Lepisosteus oculatus: one gene and its partner. Each later gene encodes a partner of the first gene's protein in a complex. Links are inferred from orthologs where the notes say so. Each region holds a gene or a part of one and is shown on either strand. Other genes may lie near its edges.

Region 1 (10,047 bases):
GCGAAATCACATTTCACGTTTCTATCCAGAGTTGGAGGAAAAATTGCCTGTTTTTGTTGCTACCGAACAGAGAACCCTCAAGCAAGTGTCAAAGCTTCCACATAGTTGGGAAAGGGAGAAGCAAAATACCAGGTCTTTAGCAAGTTTTATCGTAATGTACGCCCCCTACTCCCTTGTTGAACACCAGGGCTTTGCAAAGTGTTGCAAACACTGGAGCCAAGGTATAACATACCGTCTCTGCGTCACTTTAGTGAAACAGCAATACCAATGCTCTACAACGACACCAAAACTCAAGTTTTGGAATCACCGAAGAAAGCAAATAGGGTGGCAATAATCTGTGACAAAAGATTTCATTTTGGTGAATGACAACGCCTCTAACATGGCTGTTGCTGCACAGCTGGCTAAATTCCTACACCTGAGATGTTATGCTCACACACTGAATTTGGCCTTTCAGCAAGCACGCAAAAAAATTAATGATGAATAGAAAAAAAATCGAGATGCATCGAGAATCGATTCGCATTATCGAACCCTAAATCGAAATCGAATCGAATCGTGAGGTGCCTAGAGATTCCCACCCTCCTGCATAGCACACAAAGGGTAACACCAAGTTCTTACCCTCCCATGCTTACAGATGTAGTCAAACAGTTCACCTCCAGACACGTACTCCATAACCATGAAGAAGTCCGTGGGTGTACTGATGACCTGGTATCTAAAAAAAAAAAAAGAACTCCAATTACCAATCAAGGTTCCAAAATATCACCCAGCACTGTCTGTGACAGTCTCAAAATCCAAAGGAGCTTTCAACAAAAGAACAACATTAATGTTCTAGACTTGCAGGCAAAATTCATTCCACTTTCATATATTTTTTTCTCCTAGATTGTCTTTGATGTCATTAGATATAAGGTACTGTATACCTACTGCAATTATTTTTGTTTTGCTTCTCTCTAAAGTGTCTGCTTTGATTTTAAGTTATAACTTGCATGCATGTTAATGATGAATTTGTTGTCAAAATTAGACACAATTTATAACATCTACAATTTGCTTTAAGGGCTTTAGGGAGTTCTGCAAGCACAGGTACACCTTGTATATATTTTAAATATGTCCACATTGTTTACTGAGAATTATTTTTCAGTATATTATAACATTAGGGCCTTCAACCAGTGAATATGGGAAAGGTCTGTTTGAACTTGACTAGCACCAGCATAGCATGGGAGGATTATGAACTGAAAGAGACATTAAAGATTTGTGGTTACTGTGTATCTTGAGGGCTGCAATCATGCTCCACTCTGACAAAATGCCCAGATTTTAATTCACCTGGTGTTGCTCACAGTTTAATAATGTGAGGGTGACGGAAAAGCTTGAGGTTCTGTATTTCCCTTTTTATTTTCCCCACCACATCCAGGCTGCGGATTTTCTGACGATTCAGAATCTTCACTGCGACCTTGTGCCCAGTCAGCTGGTGCTCCCCGACTAGCAAAAGCACAGAACAGCAACAACAGTGAAACAACTGAAAGAATCCAGAGAGTAGGTAAGCAAGACTCCAGGCCCATAAAATGTACACTTGACAAGCAAAAGTGATGGAACTGTCAGTAAAAATAAATTCAAAGGTCTCAGTTCATCTGTGAAAAAGATATACAAGTACTGATTAAAAAGTGAATACATTATCCATTTGCTTAGAAAAAATAATATTCAGAAAAAGTATTAACTTTCCTTTTTTATGAATGCATTCCCGCCAATAACAAGAGGATATGGTGTGCACATTAAGAGCAGAAAATACACTTAAAACTAGTCTTTCAACCCATGATAGCTTCCAATTCATATATACTGTACAGAACGATTCTACTAGGAAGTAAAGCGAAATTATAAAATGTGTCCATACATCAACCTGCACAGTTGAAGTGGTAAATCATTCTACAGAACATTAAGTATGGTTTGTCATGTTATTTCTCAATGCCTTATTAAGCAATTATAGACCACAAGACTAAGACTACCATGTTTTTTTGTTAAAAATCTACAAGATTAATTTAAACTACCTTCCTGGAGTCTTTAATTTAGCATTCTGAAAATATTTGTGGAACATTAGTTATTACTGCAAATTTATTTTGGTGGTGAATATTACATGATTATGATCAGAAAATGCCTGGTTTATAAAGTTTTTGAATTGGTCTCACTGCTCTATCTTAAAACAATCATGGTTGCAGTATAAAAAGGCAACAGAAATCAATTCACTGACTTAATGTAAGGTACAAACCTGGTTAATATTAAAGGCAGAAGAGTCTACTGAGATCTCTGGTTTGCCTATTACGTCCCATGCAATATTCTCATTAGACTATGATAAGTACTATTAATGTATAAAACTGGAACATCAGGATTGCTCATTTGAGAGCAGATCTCCTGCCGTCTCTTGACATGAAGCATGATAGAAGCCAAAGACAACACACCTCGCTTTTCTGTGAGAACTATCAATATTTAATAAAACAAAAAACAGAAGGAGAAAGACATTGTAAAAAAATTGTTACACTCAAACCCTTAGCTCAGCTTCAAACATCTTCTACAAAACAGCCTGGCTGTTTCAGAAAAGCAATTAAACATGCTCAGAGAACCAGCATCCTGCTTGTGAATCCACATCCCCTCCAAATAAATATGCTGTGCATCCTCAACAGAGAAAATACAGAATATGATATCTTTCTAAAATGTAAAAAAAGTACTGTGTAGACCAAATAGAAAACAGAAAACAGTGATTTACAAAATTGCTTGATAGACTCCCCAGGGTTCAGTGTTATCTTAGATACCAGGCTATTTTTTCTCTTCTTGTGCTTTTATCTAATTCCTGCTTTCCCCTGGTCCTGAAAACTCACACAGCATGTTAAGGACATCCAGATTGCAGCCTATAATCTTCCATGGGTTAGCAATACAGTACATGTCCTAAATAATTTAAAGTTACTGATGTAACCATTTCATACAATTGATCTCACTTTTTTATATTGAAGACTCATGCTATTTATTTTTTACCTTACCCTTATAGTGAAGGACAAGTCCATTATAGGAAAAAGGATAAATAATATGTCTGTATTAATTCTTCTCCTGCCCCAACAACAACCAAGCAAAGTCTAAAACTTAAACAAAAAGCAAAGAAATGTCAAGTTTGCCTCTTATGGATCTCTATGTTTTGTGGACTGTTGTGACCACATGGGGACTAGATCAATACACTAATGGCTAAGATGTATGTGATAAAGTAACGGGTGCCTGAAAATTTCTTGGAGTTTATAGTTTTGGGAAAGGTATAGCAAAAGTTATTAAAAACTCCATTAAATCACTGATGAGATTTCAATTGCTTATATCCCCAAGTTTTATTAACATGTACTGTAGTTTGGATTTTCAGCAATATAGATAATGCAGAATCCCTACATTTGAGCACATTAAAACCAGAATCAGAGAAGCACGTAATCACACTAGAACATAAATCTTTTATAGATAAGTCTACTCCTCTAATTACCGTATTTCAAAAGTTGACCGGTCCAGACCTCAGACTCGGCCATTAAAAATCTTACTATTCTTGAAATACGCTGTTTGCTTCTCTTTAAAGTGGTTTCCAAGGTCAAGCTGGGATGCATTCCAAATTCCAACCTACAGGTGGCTGCACTTGCTGGTTTGTCTAGGCAGTGCTGATAATTCACATTGAGAAATATTGCAGACATATTAGCGTGAAACGCTGAAAATGAAAAAAATGAGTTGTCGTTTAAAAAACACTTGGTACTTTTGATCATGAAAAAGTAGTGTTGCTCGTGCTTTGTACTCTCATGAATGGTTCGAATTTCCAGCTTTAATAGAAATGGACATTTTTAGTTTTAATTATTGCAGCTGCAAACTATTGTGGTTGCCTTATTACCGGACAACAGTCTCCTAAATTACTTTCCCTCACTCTGTCGAACCTTAACATTGACCTAGCAAACAATAATTACCATTTTAACTTGAACCAGGAGAGCACTAATTCTAGTAGTAACATGCCAGAGTGGATCTTGTATTCTTTGGTTCTTTTGGTCATATTATTTTAAAATCCAGAAAAAACCGTTTGGCAACAGATGCAGTTTACTCGTATCAACTAAACGAATTTACTAAAATGCCATTTTTAAAGTTAAAATTTAGCCATTTTTAAAATATCCTCATAGATTGGCGTGCGTAAAGGTTAAAGAAACAAGGTCAGAATTACAAGCCGACAACACAGTTATCAACTCTGGTTTCCTTAAGAATAAAATGCTGCGTACATTTTACATCGGTTTAACATAATATTTGATATGGTCATTACCAAAGTGTGATGATTTTTCTCAATATTGCGCTGTCAAAGCAATGATTGTATATACCTTACAAAATACTGCATTCGCATTTATTGTTACTGCATGTCAGAAAACAGGATTTTTGATTTACTACTGCTTCCTAAGCATGAACTGCACACCATAATATTTACAAGCGTTTAACAAGACTGCTCTCTGCATTGATGACAGAATTCGGGATTTTTTAAAACACTCCCCATTCTTCAGTTATATTTACGAAATAAGCGTTCGCCGTTCTTAGACTGCTCCCATACACTGTCAAGACACTGCTACGCCGTTTGCGTAGTGTCCACCTGCAATGGTTTAACATTCACAGTCAAGGCAGAGGAGAAAGACATTTACAGTCTGTCGGAAGCTGTAGCAGTTTCTTAACAAAATAAAAAAAAACACTTAACTCTTCACTTTTCCGAAAGTGCCGACTCCAAGGGTGTCTCCTAATATGTAGTGTCCTATTTTAACCCTGCCTTCGTGTTTCTGCTTCTCAGCCATTTTTGCATTTGTGATCCTTCTGTAGTTTTACCCAGAGTGCAGAGGGAGGCGAAGAGTACTGTACAACGCACACTACACCAAGCACGCGAAAGAAGTCAGACACCAGACAGCGCAATGCTGTTTATGGTGATTGTCAGTCTTCTGGCGAGAGACATGGGGGGAGGATGGCGGCAGCCTATTAACTCTTCCCCACAATTCGAAATGTGTGTCTGAAATGCCTGTGTATTTACCTGTTATTGGGAAAGAAATATTCTTAATTCTTTACACGCTAAAACCCTAATCCCGCTAGAATCACGGTGGCTGCACTTCAAGGACATTTCTACAGTATGCAGTGTGTCACATTCTTGTCTTTTTGGAGATACTATAATGTTTGATTGTTGTCTTTGATAACAGCATTAAAGTTGTTGCTGTTAGGAACTGACGACGTACTAGGTATTCTAGTGTACTGAAAGGTAGCTCTTCTTATGTACCATAGCAAATAAATACTGTATATGCCAGAAAATTTTAAATTTATTATATACTGCAGCGAACGACCCTGCGGCTCTGGAGGCTGCAGACAGAGTACTCAGTTTAAACAAAAGGGGTTTATTGCCCTTTAGATTACAGTATGTGTGCTAGTCACTAGGGGAGAGAGAGTGGTGTCCCGCAGTCTCCGGTAGCAATACATGGCGAAATAGAAGATTTATATAATATGATACATGTGTACTGTATACAGATGCAGTCAGGGTCAAGGTTGAGAGGGAAAAGGGAAAATCCAATACAGGTGGGAGCGGAATGCTACACTACATAAATGTGAACACTAGGTGGAGATGTACGATTTCTGTCGTTCTTATATAGTTCCAGTAATAATAATAATAATAATAATAATAATAATAATAATAATAATAATAATAATAATAATTGCTTACACTTAATTTTGCTTCTTTTCAGCCATTCTTTTTGGATCATTGTCTTGCTGCATGACCCAACTACATTTCAGCTTCAGCTTACGGACAGATGACTGGACATTCTCCTTAAGAATTTTCTAATACAAAGCAGAATTCACGGTTCCTTCAATTATGGCAAGTAATCCAGGTCCTGAGGCAGCAAGGCATCCCCACTCCATCACACTACCGACACCATGTTTGACTGTTGGTATGACGTTCTTACTGTGGAATATTGTGTTTGCTTTACGCCAGACATAATGGGACCCATGTCATCCAAAAAGTTCCACTTTTGACTTATCTGTCCATAGAACACTCTCCCAAAAGGCTTGGGGATCATCCAGGTGCTTCTTGGCAAATGAGAGACAAGCATTTATGTTCTTCTTGGTTAGCAGTGGTTTCTGCCTTGCTGCTTTCCCATGAAGCCCATTTTTGCCCAGTCTCTTTCTAATTGTGGAGTGATGAAAACTGACCTTAGCTGAGGCAAGAGAAGCCAGCAGTTCTTTGAATGTTTTTTTAGGATCCTTTGTGATTTCCTGAATGATTTTACACTGCGCCTTTGGAGAAATTTTGGCAGGCTAGCCACTCCTAAGAAGATTCACAACTGTTCCAAGTGTTCTCCATTTGGAGTTTACGGCTCTCACTGTGAGTCCCAGAGACTTTGTAACCCTTTCCACACTGATAGATATCAACAACTTTTTTCTGATTTCTTCAGGAATTTCCTGTGGTCGTGGCATAAGGTGCTTGTTGAATCTTTGTGCTGGCAACTTGACTCTGTTAGTAAGGGTCAAAATAAGTGAGGTTTATATTGAGCAGGGCTGGCTGTAATCAAGCCTGGCTGTATTCAATCAGCTGACTCTAAATTATCATTTTAATTGGGTTGATTTAACTAAGGGGGCAAGTACTTTTTCACACAGTGCCAGTTGGTGTAGGATAACTTCAGTGTCAAAAATGTGCAATAATAGAGGAAATCAATAAGGGGGCAAATACGGCACCGTACCTACACACTACATACTTATGCACTTCCATTTTACTCATTTAATGTATTGGTACTGTGTTTGCAATCTTATTCTTTTGGCATCTATTGAGTCAATCTTTAATGTGAATTGCAGGTTGTGAATGCTTATCACCTGAGAGTTCCTGTAACAGGAAATTAAAGCCTTCAGCTTTATCAGGTGGACAATCGCAGTTACCTGTTGGACTTTAAGAGCATTGACGGTAAGGAAAACAAAGGTACTGCTCATCTTCAGCTATGTCATGCTAATAAATCACACTGGAGACATGTTTATACACAAAGTAGTATGGCATTTGCAGTGCTTCACATACTTCTGAATATTATCTTAGCTATGTCCCTCTGTGCAGCTCAACCAGAAAGGCACTTAAGCTGTAGACTGAGTGTTTTCACTTGTCCACAAGGGATTTCACAGCCCGAATAACTCTGAGGGAAGTGTGGGATTAGTCAGTCGGGGTTCTCGGCTCTTGGTGGAACAGCACCTCCTGTAGCTTGAGTGCAGGAATGCAGTGCTGTCAGCGAGGGATGATCCTCTCTCTAATTGGCACCGAACCTCCTGAACTGTGGTGCCTGTGACATTAAAACACAAGTGGCTCGAAGCTGAGCAGGTCAGCTGACATTTCTTCCCCTCTGCATGTGCAAGAATGGTAACTGTGAGCTGACACTTGGAAAAGCACAATTCGCCATTCAAATTCATTTAGGATTAATAATAATAATAATAATAATAATTGGTTACACTTATATAGCGCTTTTCTGGACACTCCACTCAAAGCGCTTTACAGGTAATGGGGACTCCCCTCCACCACCACCAATGTGCAGCATCCACCAGTAGAAGGTAAAATGTCCAACAGCCCAACTGCTTCCAAAATACTAAGATAACACAACAGAAGTCAACAATAGGTTCTTGTTTGTCTGTTGAAGATTGAATTGATTCTCAGTGTTGTTTAGCAAAAAATCATAATCACTTTCAACATCCACTTATCCAGTTTAGGGTCACAGATATACCCTGGATGGAACATCAGTCTATCACAGAGGACACAAAGATGCAGAGCTATTTTCACACCATTTTTTATAGAACAATCAGTTTATTATTAATTTGATTAAATTAGTTAAAGGACAAGATTTGTACTAATGTGCTCTTCTGATTTGTTACCTCTATTGTAAATTGTTTTGTGATGTCCTAACAGGAAAGGCACAATATAAAAATTATTAAATTGTGCATTTTAATTAAAACTTTCCAAATGAAACTAAAAATTAACTTAGGCTGTGAGCAGGTCAGCTCTGTGTAATATCTGAGGTACTGTTTACTCTGAGAGGCAGAGAGATGTGACCTTAACTGAAATTTTACAGCCACCTTGCCACTTGAAGAAGCAGGAGAAGGTCCTGTCCACCAGCTAGATTGAAGACTTCATTTGAGTCTTGTCAGAAGTACTGTATACTGCTGTGCAGCATTGTTTGTAAATTTCTGGTAACTGTACTTCTATCATTATCATTATTCATTTTTGTTAGTAATGTTGATGCTGTTGTCCATGTGTTCAAGTACATATATTATAGTAAATTCAGTACAATTTGGTCCAAGTACAGTTAAAGTTATCCATAGACAGACATCTTGTAAAATGCTACGATGACCTGGTCTAAATTGATTCACCTTTAATATCTAGTAAAGTATTCACCACATTGCACAGAAATTAAATTAATATGTTAATTGATTAGTTGGAAGGTACAAACAAGTAAGAAAATTCATAGTTTATTGTCCAACCAAGGTTATTTTATGCTTGTATTTTTAAAACTTTCTAAAAATACACCATTACCCTGACATTGATAATGTTAAGTATTTGTACAAATGTATTTTTAGTAGGTGATCCGCAGGTGAAATAGCTACTACCGAACAAGGTAAATGGGCTAAATGGACTGTTCTTATTAGCCACTATCCAGGTATTGATTTTTATGTTTGCTTATTGCAAATGTTATTGTCCCCATTTAATCACAAAGCATTTGTAGCATTTATTTTACTTTACTTGCAATGATTACTTTACAACAAACAAAAATGGATAAATCTGTTTAAATATATCATTAGAAAAGATGTTTTGCTGAATAATTCACCTGAGTGCTTACCATCTTACATTCTTTTCCTCTTGTGAAACAGCTTATTGGAAAAGAAAGATAATCCACAACAAATTCCTCTTAAATGAGTGTGGTTAATTTCTTAGAAGTCTGTTTTTTCTTTTCATGATCTTTTTTTTAAACTTAATTTCCATACCTGTTAACTTAAACTTAATTTTAGTTGAATTTTGATGTTTTCATTGATGCAATGCAAGAAGTAATATATCAAAGATTACTTGCATGTGTCGGATGTAAAACTTATTGTTGACATTAGATGGCACCTTTGTCCTACTTGTAAATTGGAGCCCACATTGCTAAATAAACTAAAGTGCCAAACTTAACACAGTACAGCACTGTGTTATTCTGATAAACTATTTAAATGCATAGAAAAACATGTGCTGAAGCAGTATTTACTTTCTTAAGTAAGTACTTTTTGATTGTATTAAGCTATTTATGTCAGTAACAGTGTTCCAGTGAATAAGAGAGTAAAGAACATAACACTTCTTAGAAAAAGAAGTTCCTCTGTCTAAAATTATTCCTACAGTATGTGACAGGCAGCACATATCCTTTATTCTATTGAAGTTTACATAAGGTTTGCAAATGACAGGGGCCCATTGACCTTGTTTCGTTTTTTAAAAGATAAGTGACACAAGGTTCCCTTCCAGTTGTTTATTGAAAGAAGCTTAGGTACCAGCTTTGACAACAAGGCTGGGGAGCTGGTTCCATAGTTCTGAAAAATAAGGTTTTCAATCAGACAGAATGTAACTATTACCTCATGGGAAAATGCCAAGTCACATACAAAGTTATCCAATTGGATCTTAAGACCTTCTTTTTCTGCATGGTTGAGCTATTTTTGCTTTATCACTGCTTTACTTCCATGTTTTGCTCAGAGTTGTGAATTCTATTAGACACAGCAGAAATCGTATGCAAAAAGCTGGCTCACCCCTCTACTGGGCTGCTGAGTTGCTCCTTTCTTTCCATACCTTAGCATGGAATTAGCATCTCCTTCTGCCCTTACTGTGGTTGCTGCGATCAGAGTGATTGTAGCAGTGTCTCTGATTTTTCTTGTACATACTGCAAAGGTCTCTGGTATTCCTGTAAGTTTCTTTAGTGCTGAGACTGCTTTGCTTTGTTTTAATGTCCCTCTCTTTTATTTCTTCAGTACCATGTGAGTACTAAGGGAACTTTT
Region 2 (10,635 bases), about 9.5 Mb from region 1:
TTGAGTGTCGCTGCCAGTGTGGGCGTTATTTAAGGAATGCCAGCTGGCTATCAAGATGAGCCAGGCTCAGACTGTTGATATCTAGGACAAAGAGGTCATCCTTTCCTGATTATGCCGCGTGGAGACAATAAAATGTTACATTTTAAACAGTAGCCAATGCTGCCCTAACAATCTGGGTTAAACATCCCTCGCTATTCAATGCTTTTATCAGGTCTTTGTACCAGATCGACTGGTGCATCGGCTCAAGTTGTGTATTGTTGGTCCAAGCAAGACTGATAGCCATTACTGAGTAATTTAAGTTTTGTTTTAACAGATAAGACTCTGTATAACAGAGACGCCCATATTAGTCTCCCTTTATTATCATTCAGCCAGGTGTGACAATAACTCAGCTATGAAATTCAACAACTTACCTTTTGTTGAGCGGGATCTTGGTGCTCCAGTTATTAAAGGAGCCAGCGATGTACACTTCCTTTCCACCCCCTGCCCAGCGGATCACAGTGGGTCGTGCTTGTGATCCCAGCTTCATGTGCTCTTCGAGGTCAGGCGTGAAGTGCATAAACTCCTTTTCTCCAGAAGGCTGAAACATTTAAATAAACTGAATAAATAAAACCGTGAGCTGCCATCCAAAGTACTCTAAGCAGAGATATTTCCATCCCACCTGTGGCACTGCGTGGTATAAGCAGACCTCAACCATGAACTCTTCATGTGTTTCACCGCTATACGTGCTATACAGGCACTACAACATTACTGGGCCCTGTTTGCCGAAAATCACAGTGTAAAAGGACTAAAAAAAGGTTTATAAAGCGAACGGGGAATAGAACAATTAAAGAAGACAAACAGGGTATGTGTTACATAAAAGGTTACTGTGGTCAGTGAAATATATACAAAGCAGCCCAGTCATCACTCCAGCTGCATAAACGGTGATATTTTCAAAATATTTACGTTATGCAGGCAGTGAATATCTCTGACCAATTTACAACTCCTTAACAGCGCTACAGGCAGTATAATATCGTGTTAAAAATAGGTTACATTTTATGTAACAATGACTTTATACATTCATAACAAACTTAACACAAAACAGACAATAAATACAGCATGCAAGGGCAAACATTTTTTGTTAAACATGTTTTCATTAATAATACATACAGCATATTTATCTGGCCCTTTTTAACACAAAGCATCCCAAAGCACTTATATAGGAGACCCACTTTATCTATTACCCAAGCGCAGTACCCAGCTTGGTGACATGTTGCCATCAGCCACACTCCACATTAGGTCAGACAGAGAAGCAAGAAATTACTTCAGCAATTGAATTAAGAAGTAGGCCAGATTGTGAAACCTCTGAGCAGAATTTGTGCCAGGATACAAGGGTAAGCACCACTACTTTTACAAATATTCCTATGGGATCATTAATGGCCAAGTAACTAAGAAGAGGTCCCAACATTGTATTCGATGGGATCTCCTCCACAAAGCAGTCCAACTGTCAACCATATTGAGGTACTGAATGTGAGATTCTAGTACAGAGGGAAATGTACCTCCTCCTGGTTCAAAACCACCACCCACAGAAGCAACCAGCTTACCCTCTGAGGTTTCCCACCACACTGCTGACTAGTGCTGGCTATGCTTAGCTTCTGAGGTTTGACAAGATCAGGCCACAGGGAGGTAACACCTAGGTCAACACCCTGGATGGTGCGCCTGTCCATCACAGGGCGGACACACAGACACCAACACATGCACACAAACACACACCAAAAGTCAATTAACCCACCGGTACAGTTTATAAACCAGAGGAAACCCACACAAACACAAGAAGAACATACAAACAATATGAACACAGATGGATCCCAAGCCCGGAATTGAACCCAGGACCTCTTGCTTTGGGGCAGCAAAACTAACCAATGCGCTACTGTGCTGCCCTTCAACCTCTACATGGTTACCAAAATACAGTATATAGGATAATAAAGTATTTAGTCATATTACTGAGGACAGAGATTAAATCATTGCTTGGCTGTTCAAGCATGCGGTGTTTTTTCATTTGGTTCAACAATGTTGAATGACTTTGTGATAACATGGATGAGACTGTAACATACAACTATCACTGCTTGGTCAGCTGTGGCTTTCATTCTGAATCTCCATGAACACTTGGATTTAAGTGGTTGATACACAGCAGTAATAAACAGCACAGCACAGCCTTGTCAACGGATGCTTTATTGAGCAAGTTCAATGCTGTGCAAAGAGACAGTCCAAGCAGAATGCATACTTACCACCATCAGCCCATGCTTGTGTTAAATACCTTTGACTCCAGAGTGTGAGTGTTGAAGATGTTGGGGTCGTCGGTGCTGTCCACCATGATTTTGCTTGGTTCCTGCTCTTTCTGGCTACTGGTAACTCCATCTGGACGGTGGGATTTTGCCCCATGGCGATCTCCCAAGACCCGGTCACTGGACGTATTCCCCATACTAGTTCACCTTTCCAACAACATTCAAAAAGTCTTAAGAAATCTTGCTACATTAAAATACAGACCTTATCCATCTTCCATTGTCCCACACAATACATCAATTTCATCAAGCAGAAGCAATTATAATAATAGTGCTCACACTTCTACTGTGCTTTTTCTGGACACTCCACTCAAAGCACTTGACAAGAAATGTGGACTCCCCTCCACCACCACCACCTGAATGATGTGAAGGCTGCCAAAGTGCACCAGTACGCTGACCACACACCAGCTCTCAGTGGGGAGGAGAGCATGATGAACCCAACTGATAGATGGGGATGATTAGGAGGCCATGATTGGCAAAGGCCAGGGGGAAATTTGGCCAGTACACCTGGGTAAATACTGCTACTCTTTTCAAGGGATTTGTAATGCCCATGGAGAGTCAGGACCTTGGTTTTTCATGTCATCTGCAGAACAATGCCTTTTTTACAGTATAGAGTCCCCATCACTGTACTGGGGCATTAGGACTCACATAGACCACAGGGTGAGTACCCCCTACTGGTTCCACTAATACCTCTTCCAGCAGCAACCTTAGCTTTCCCAAGAGGTCTCCAATCCAGGTACTGGCCAGACTAAACTGCTTAGCTTCAATGACAGTTGTGGGTTGCAGAGCGATACAGCTGCTGGCAGGTCCATGGAGACCTGATATTTTTGCCACTTTGTTTTAGATGTTAATCCTGACAGATCTGTTTTTCAAAGTAGACCATCCTATTACATTAATACGGAGGATGGAAAAAATAATGGTAAAAACAAGAAACACATTACATTAACGATTTAACGAAGGTTTAATGAAAGCAGTGAGCAAACAGTTTGTGCTTATAAGAAGCTTATATTTGAAATTCCTAATCCTTATCATTAAGATGTCCAAGTCCCTTGTACAGCAGTGTGTATACATTTGTCAGAATTATGAAAGCAGAAGCAGACTCCACATACCTGTGCCTCACGGGATATTTTTCTCATGAACATTAAAATATACAATAACAATGACAATCAAAAGACAATAGCATATTTCATTTCAAAATAATTGTTTTCACTAAAGGAACCAAAGGCATGTTTACAATGACGTCAGGTTCTTATTCTGAGAGAATCGGAGGCAGTATTGGGCTTGTTCTGATTTTGCTTAATTATAGCATCAGAGGAATTTTCTAATCCAACAATAATGAGTGGAATAAAGAGAAAAAAACCCACACAGCAGTCATGTAAGATGTACTCCTACAAATGAACGGAATATCTCGTTCCCCTTTAAAGCACAATATTAATCAGAACAGACAATGAAGTCGTTCGAAAGAGTTTCCTCTCATACCGCCCAAATGTAAAGGTGCCAAAGTCTATAACTGTTACAAAGTCTTTAACTTTGTAAAAGTTAAAAACACAATGGATTCTTTGTGCATGTACTACAGCTGTCTTTATGAACTACAACTACTAACAAAACAGGTAGCACCCAATGACTCTTTACTTTGTAAAGACAGCTAAAAATACACACACGGTACTAGCTGACCTCTGCCTGTACACCAGGGTTGTTAATCCCGGTCCTGGCTTCTGTCTGCAATGCTTCATTCCCAATCAGCTCTCAGTGGTTCAAAAACAGGTCGTTATTAACAAAGTTGGGCAAAGTTAGTCATTTCTCTCAATTCAAGGGACGTGGAGATAAACGGCCTCCAAGACAGTCCTGTTGTAGACTGTATTATTGTGCATATCATTTCAGTGATGACCACTCAACTGTGAGAGGCAATTTGTGGAACCTCTAAGCACAGGTACGTAAAAATGACAAGAAATTGACACTACTACGAAACTGATCTTAGCTTACTATCGGCATGCATTAGAATACGAGCCCGTAATGTTTGTCATGATAATGATTTCTTTAGGGTCAAATGATTGCTTAAATAAAAACACAAACAGCTAACATTATTCAGAACACCAGATTATACGTCAGAAAAACAAAAGTGTAAGTGCGATTTTATTTCCGTGTTTATGGTGTGCTTCCAAAAACTGATTAAAACTGTAGCGCCTGCCTCTTGTAATGGTACACCTGAGCTCTTCACCCTGTTCCCAAAAATATAAACGTTTAGCAACAGCAGTTGTACCATCAAGTTAAATACCATTGTGGCGTTTTTAAAACGACCTTGTTGCCCAAGCAGGACAGCGGTAGTCTTATCAAACGATACAGTAACAGAAACAACAAATTTCCAATAAGTTTGCTTCAACCACAACACTCGGAAGCTCCGACACCCAGTAAATGATCAATAAAACTACTTTACCAGACACCGCTAAATAACAATATCTTAAATGCAAACACTTTAAAGTTCTAGAACAGAAACTGGGGTGATCTTAATTTCACATATACTGTTTGAGGCACAAAGAAGAAGCGCGGAATAACGCAAATTACCTGTTAACGGCGTTTAATGTCTATTGCTTCTGGAGCGCCACTGAACCGATCGCCCTTCCTACATTACAAATGTCAACAGCTCCCCCTGCCCCAACCTTGATGATATCGGCTTCTACGGGATCTGCGGAGGGTCAATCTGTAATCCTAAAACTGCATTTGCCAAACGCGAAGGCCTTCAGATTAAAATGAAAGTACTGAACTGTCGCTCTTGGCTTTTAAAAATGTAAACAAGTCAGATGTTATTTTTGTTTGTAACAATCTGTCGTATTTTTAAATTAGTAATAAATAAGTATACTAGTTTATAATCGTACTTTATAAAGCATGCTAAAACAAGCAATAACTGAATAAAACGATTGACACCCAATACAGATTTTGCATTTTTGATAAAAATATTATCAGATTAATATGGAAATAAACAGGAGACAAAGGTGAGACTTTCTGAAAACATTATTGGCCCAATCATCACTTTAAGCTTTGATTACCATAATACACAAACCCACCAGTTTAAAATAATTGCATTCATGATGTTTACTTTCAATAGTACTTTTCATGATACATATTAACAAAGCGTTTTGGAACAAAACAATCACACCTTAAAGCATATACTCTGTACATTCAACAGAATTAAAACAGAGATAAAAATAACTTTGAAACAGGATTTGAAAGTGCTGACGTGCAAGATAAGACATGAGCTGGGCGATCATTTCACAGCCTTGGAGCAACAGAACAGACAGCAAGGTCTCAGGTGTTGAAAGCATTGTTTTTGGAGGAGGGTGTGAGCAATACATAGCTGTGTTGGGAGTGAACAGTTCATTGATGTAGACAGAAGCTAAATCACTCAAGTGACCAGCTGTATTTTTTTCATTCTGAATTCCGCAAGAGCCAATGCAAGAAAGCTAAAAAAAAAGATAGATGCTCGTGGATTTTAGTTTTAGTTAAGATCAGATTAGCTGAGATCTGAACATATCCTGTTGGCAGCAACACCAGCAAACACTGAATATAATACAATAATCAAGCCTGGAAAAGATAGACATATGCATTAGCTTTTCTCCACAACTCCCTCTCTCTCTGCCACTGAGCAGAGAGTCAGCAATGTTAACAGGATGAAAAACAACTCTTTCACAACATTTTGAAGGTTAGAAGCAAGTAAAACATTAGGAGCAAGCACAGACTTGTGTTATAGTATGCTGCTAGGATTCCGTTTATTCCAGGCTTTCTGAAAAGTATCATTTTGTGATAGTGACAAGAGAATACTGATTTAATTATCAGATTCAAGCTCTGGGTTGTCCTGGGAAAATAAAATATTAACTATACCCTCCTCTCTCAGAGACACTCCCATTTTCACTCTGACAACCCCTTTTCTTGAGCATGACATTACAGTATATGAGCAATACAATTCAAGGGTATAATGCATCTGAATTACTTTGAATTTCATAACTGCAAACTAAATCAAGCAGTAACATCACACATTTATATTGTGCATCATGCAAGCAACCATACTTGGCTTACCCATATAGTATTGAAAGGACAATGTACAGTAATTATAATCTAAAATCTAAAATCAGATCAGAGGGAGATTTATATCTAGTATTTGATCCTGTGATATCATCCTTAATATTATGGATTTTAAAAAACGATTTTTTTCCCAAAAAGCTGTGATCTTTAAAATAAATGGGGTTGATTCCTATACCCAGTAGAACCTTGTGTCGTCTAATAAAAGAACACACTATCAAACATCATCTATGACTGGTCTCCTCTGCTAAAATAGCTAATAATAGGCCTGAAATGATGAGTAATATGTGGCATGCTTCAGTTATAATATGCTTACACATATATAGCGCTTTTCTGGATAAGTAACTCAAAGCACTGTACTGTACATGTAGTGGGGACTCCCCTCCACCACCAATGTGTAGCCCCCACCTGGATGAGGAGAAGTCTGGATTTATTGAAAAATTTCAAATTGGCACTCTCAAAATATTGCCAATATAACAACAGAATGTGTGAAGTTATTAAGAAATGGTGGTAGAGGGTCAGTTAAAAGTATAATTCTATGCTTGGAGTATAGAGAAAAGTGAAGCTGACACATAGCTCAATACTACTACTACTACTACTACTACTACTACTACTACTAATAATAATAATAATAATAATAATAATAATAATAATAATAATACAAAGTGCACCAGTACATCCCACACATTAGCTATCAGTGGGAAGGACAGCAGACTGTTCAGAGATGGGGATTATTAGGAGGTCATGATTGGTAAAGGCCAGGGGGAAATTTGGCCAGGACACTGAGGAGAACACCCCCACTCTTTTCGAGAAATTCCCTGGGATTTTTAATGACCACAGAGAGTCAGGACCTCAGTTTAACAGAAGGACAGTGCCTTTTTACAGTCCAGTGTCAAAAAACGTTGGGTGTCCAGCCTGTTCTGCCTCAGCGTGTTATACAGCACGGGTGCGAGCTGTGGCCCCCAGACATAGTTCCCACTGCGACAAGAGAGTCCGGGGGACTGTGAAGATGCTGGGTGAGTCAGGGGGGAGGCTTAGACTTTCAGCAGGTAGTTAGCAGGTGGCAGCACACTGAACCAAACTTGAGTGAGAACGGCACTTGAAGCACGAAGGTTCTGGCAATATGGAAAAGTCATTAAACGACAGGGGAGTCACTTTCCTGGGTTTCCTTGAAGACTGGGTGCTTTGACCTCAAGATTCAGAACAGCCTTCAGTCGCTTCCAGAACATGGACTGGCAGGCTTCATCCGGAGGCCACTCCAGGTAAGTGCTCTTGTTCATCATTTTGCGCAGCTTGCAGAAACGGTCGGGAATGGAATTGGCCGGAATGGGCTCGAGGAGCAGGAGGATCAGAGAGTCCCTCCTCTCTTCAAACACCCGGTGCTGAGCCAGGAAGAACTCGTAGTGGCACCACTCGCTCTGCACAAAGTTCTTAGACAGCACAAAAACCGTCTTGTAACTTTTGGAGATGCAGTCAATGATATTGGCAATTATAGCCTTTCCAGGTGTGAAGTCACGTTCATGGATACAAATACGGTAGGGTGGATCGTCTGATTCCAGCTGTTTCAGAAGATTGTTCATCACCCATGTAGAGTCCTGTTCACTATAGGATAGAAAAGCATGATATTCTAAGTTTCTTTCCCCAAGGTCAATATCTGGAGCTTTTTTAGCCCTGATCCATATCCAGATAGTTTTTATGTACCATGGTCCATTATATCTTATGCAAATACAAATACACAAAGCCACAAGAACAGCTACACAGGCCACAACTACGCCTGCAAGCATGCCAGGATTACACTGCACAAAGGAAAGGTCCTGAAGGCAGATTTCTGAGCCTCTTAAAGACAGGGGAATCTCACATTTGTATCCTTCTGGCCACTCCTCTATTCTGGTTAATGACCCAACAAAATACTCGCAGAGATTATTTATGTTACAATAACAATCAAAGGGGTTGTAACTAAGTTTTAACTCAGTGAGGTTTAAGGCTTTCAGAGTTGCAATGTCAACTGCATTTATTTTGTTTTTATCAACATGCAATATTGTCAGATAAGTCAAGGGAGGTAGGTGGTCTATTGAAAGTATATTATTGCCAGAAAGGTAGAGTTGGGTTAAATACTGCATCTTTTCAAGATTGGCTATTATAGTGATGTTGTTGAGGCTCAGATCCAAGATTTCTATTGAATTTGGCAAGCACATAAATACATTACTGGAGAGGTGGTTACCCCTCAAGTTCAAAAATTTAATGGTTGGAGTCCAAGGGCATGGTTCTTTGGAACTGAAGTCTAATGTGTTAAAAGCTGCAGACACATTCACCAGCTGTTCCATATGAGAGGTCATTGCAGCAAGTTTCTTCAAGTCTCCAAAATTATTTCTGTCAACCACCAATGAACGCAAACCAGGTAATGGTCTATGACAATTTGGAAACAAGGTATATTCATGGAGCAAATTATAGGACACCTCTAAAAATTCCAGTGATTGCATAACATCAGCTATTGCGCACGGAATGTAAAAAACAGAAGCATTCACAATTGATACCTCGATAAGGGGTTTGAAAAACTCCACCATGAACTCCAGGGAAGTAAACCTGTAGAAGTTCGGATTATATATATGTCTAATAAATAACCTTCTTAAGTGTATATCCTGAAAATGTGTAATATCAACTTTCCAGTGTCCTATAGCATCAAAATGAATCAAATCAAAGGAGATCTCTTCAAGGTTTGCTTTGCCCACAGTGTTGAACAAAGATGTAACAAATTCATCGTTCATAGAAATATTCTGGAAAGCAATGGATCTCAATTCTGAATCATCAAATGTGGAAAATAAAGATACAAATGTCCCACCCCTAACCAGATCAGCATTCTTTAGTTGTAACGTCCTGGTTGCGTTTTTGATGTCTTGAAACATGTGCTGAAGCAGTTCCAAATCATGCCAAATATTCACCTCCAGAGTGAGTTTTTCCAGACCATATAGGATTTTCAAAGAGTGCTCATACTCATCGAGATCTCCAGTGATCAGGTGGAATTCCTTGAGATGGAGACTGCCCAATCCTTGAAAGATGTTCTTTCCTAAAGAGATGATTTGAGGATTACCAAGCTTCAAAACCTGGAGGTGTTTCAGAAGGCTAACCTGTGGTCCCAGCTGGATTTTATCACCAATGTTGTTGGAGATGTCCAGGTAGTTCAATGCAACCAGGTTTTTAAAGGGAAGGACAGAACCTTCAAGAAGATAGTTGTTTGAAATGTCCAAGTACTCAAGCTCTGGGTTGTCTTCAAAGGCCCTGTGATCTATAAAGCTAATTTGATTGAATTGCAGGTAGAGCTTCCTCAGTCCTTTGACTTCGGTGAAGTCCTGCTCCTCTATTTTCTCAATGTTGTTGTGAGACAGGTCCAGGGTAGCTGTGGTTGGAGGAATTAGGCAGGAAGTGTTTGGGTAGTTCTGGGCAGAACAGTTGACCACAAGACCTCCGTCCACTGTCATACAAAATGCACAAAGAATAAAATATAGTACAGAAACTATTTTGTTCTGCTTCCACAAGACGCGGTATATGGACATGTTTCCAATTTCCAATTTGTCTTTCTGTTCAGTGGCTTCTAGCTATGGAAAAAATGTACAGGGATGTTTTAGTACAAATGCTTTAGTACATTAGACAGACATTAGAGAATAATTAATTTTAATTTTAGCTCCCATTTAGTTATTAATTTGACTAAATATAAATTTGAAAGCAACTCAATTTGTATTTATAAACAGAAACATAAAAAAACAGATAACAAAGCAAATTAAATCTCACTGAATTTTATCTGCAAATGACCATATATGAGCACTATGTTATAACCAGTGTTTATTTTTAATCTGATTTTATACACCAAAATAACTTAATACTGTTTTTCTTTCCACTTTTTATTGCATAAACAAGAAATGTTATAACAAACAAAAAAAAGAAACTGAATGTATAATTCTAACAACAGGAAATCACTTATTTCCTCCGATTCTCAAGATATTTGGAGTGTACAACTCCTATATTGTCTGTCAATAAAAATAATTTTAAAAATATATATTAAAAGAAATAACTTGAAACTGAAACATACCCGCACCACCTGTTTTTTTTGTTTGCCTTTGGTTAACAGGTTATCTCCATTAATAACCACACAAATTTAGATGTTTCTTAACTTTTATTAAATGTATTATCATCTCCACGGCTCTGCCCTTATTAACTTACCTTGCGTCTTCTGTTTTGGAGAAATGTG

The links. Proteins that work in one complex are often made in the same cells at the same time.
Region 2: the proteins of prkaa2 (region 1) and 5'-AMP-activated protein kinase subunit beta-2-like are in contact, whole or in part, in a crystal structure (PDB 6B2E), measured with the Homo sapiens proteins. The link is inferred for Lepisosteus oculatus from reciprocal best matches to the Homo sapiens genes PRKAA2 and PRKAB2. Residues at the interface, in NP_006243.2 of Homo sapiens: Gly9, Arg10, Val11, Lys12, Ile13, Thr21, Asn48, Arg49, Val58, Gln66, Gln81, Val82, Ile83, Ser84, Thr85, Pro86, Thr87, Asp88, Phe89, Met134, Met164, Ser165, Asp166, Gly167, Glu168, Phe169, Leu189, Ala191, Glu194, Pro253; in NP_005390.1 of Homo sapiens: Val60, Ser61, Gln64, Glu67, Asp68, Ser69, Thr73, Gln74, Ala76, Pro78, Thr79, Val80, Ile81, Arg82, Ile106, Ser108, Val113, Ile115, Val155, Ser158, Asp159, Phe160, Glu161, Phe163, Asp164, Lys167, Leu168, Gln191, Met193, Tyr194.

Annotation. Positions count from the first base shown.
Region 1 is NC_090704.1:17,351,587-17,361,633, reverse strand, and holds the start of prkaa2 (5'-AMP-activated protein kinase catalytic subunit alpha-2), read right to left. Parts: upstream 4,920-10,047; 5' UTR 4,821-4,919; coding exon 4,727-4,820; intron 1,471-4,726; coding exon 1,329-1,470; exon of another isoform or gene 1,315-1,328; intron 710-1,314; coding exon 616-709; intron 1-615. UniProt on the Homo sapiens protein: Catalytic subunit of AMP-activated protein kinase (AMPK), an energy sensor protein kinase that plays a key role in regulating cellular energy metabolism.
Region 2 is NC_090704.1:7,853,978-7,864,612, reverse strand, and holds the start of 5'-AMP-activated protein kinase subunit beta-2-like, read right to left. Parts: upstream 4,990-10,635; 5' UTR 4,881-4,989; intron 2,469-4,880; 5' UTR 2,459-2,468; coding exon 2,294-2,458; exon of another isoform or gene 2,271-2,293; coding exon of another isoform or gene 2,265-2,270; intron 578-2,264; coding exon 411-577; intron 1-410. Other genes in the region: toll-like receptor 2 type-2, read right to left, coding at 7,544-8,108, 8,892-8,975, 9,384-9,868. UniProt on the Homo sapiens protein: Non-catalytic subunit of AMP-activated protein kinase (AMPK), an energy sensor protein kinase that plays a key role in regulating cellular energy metabolism.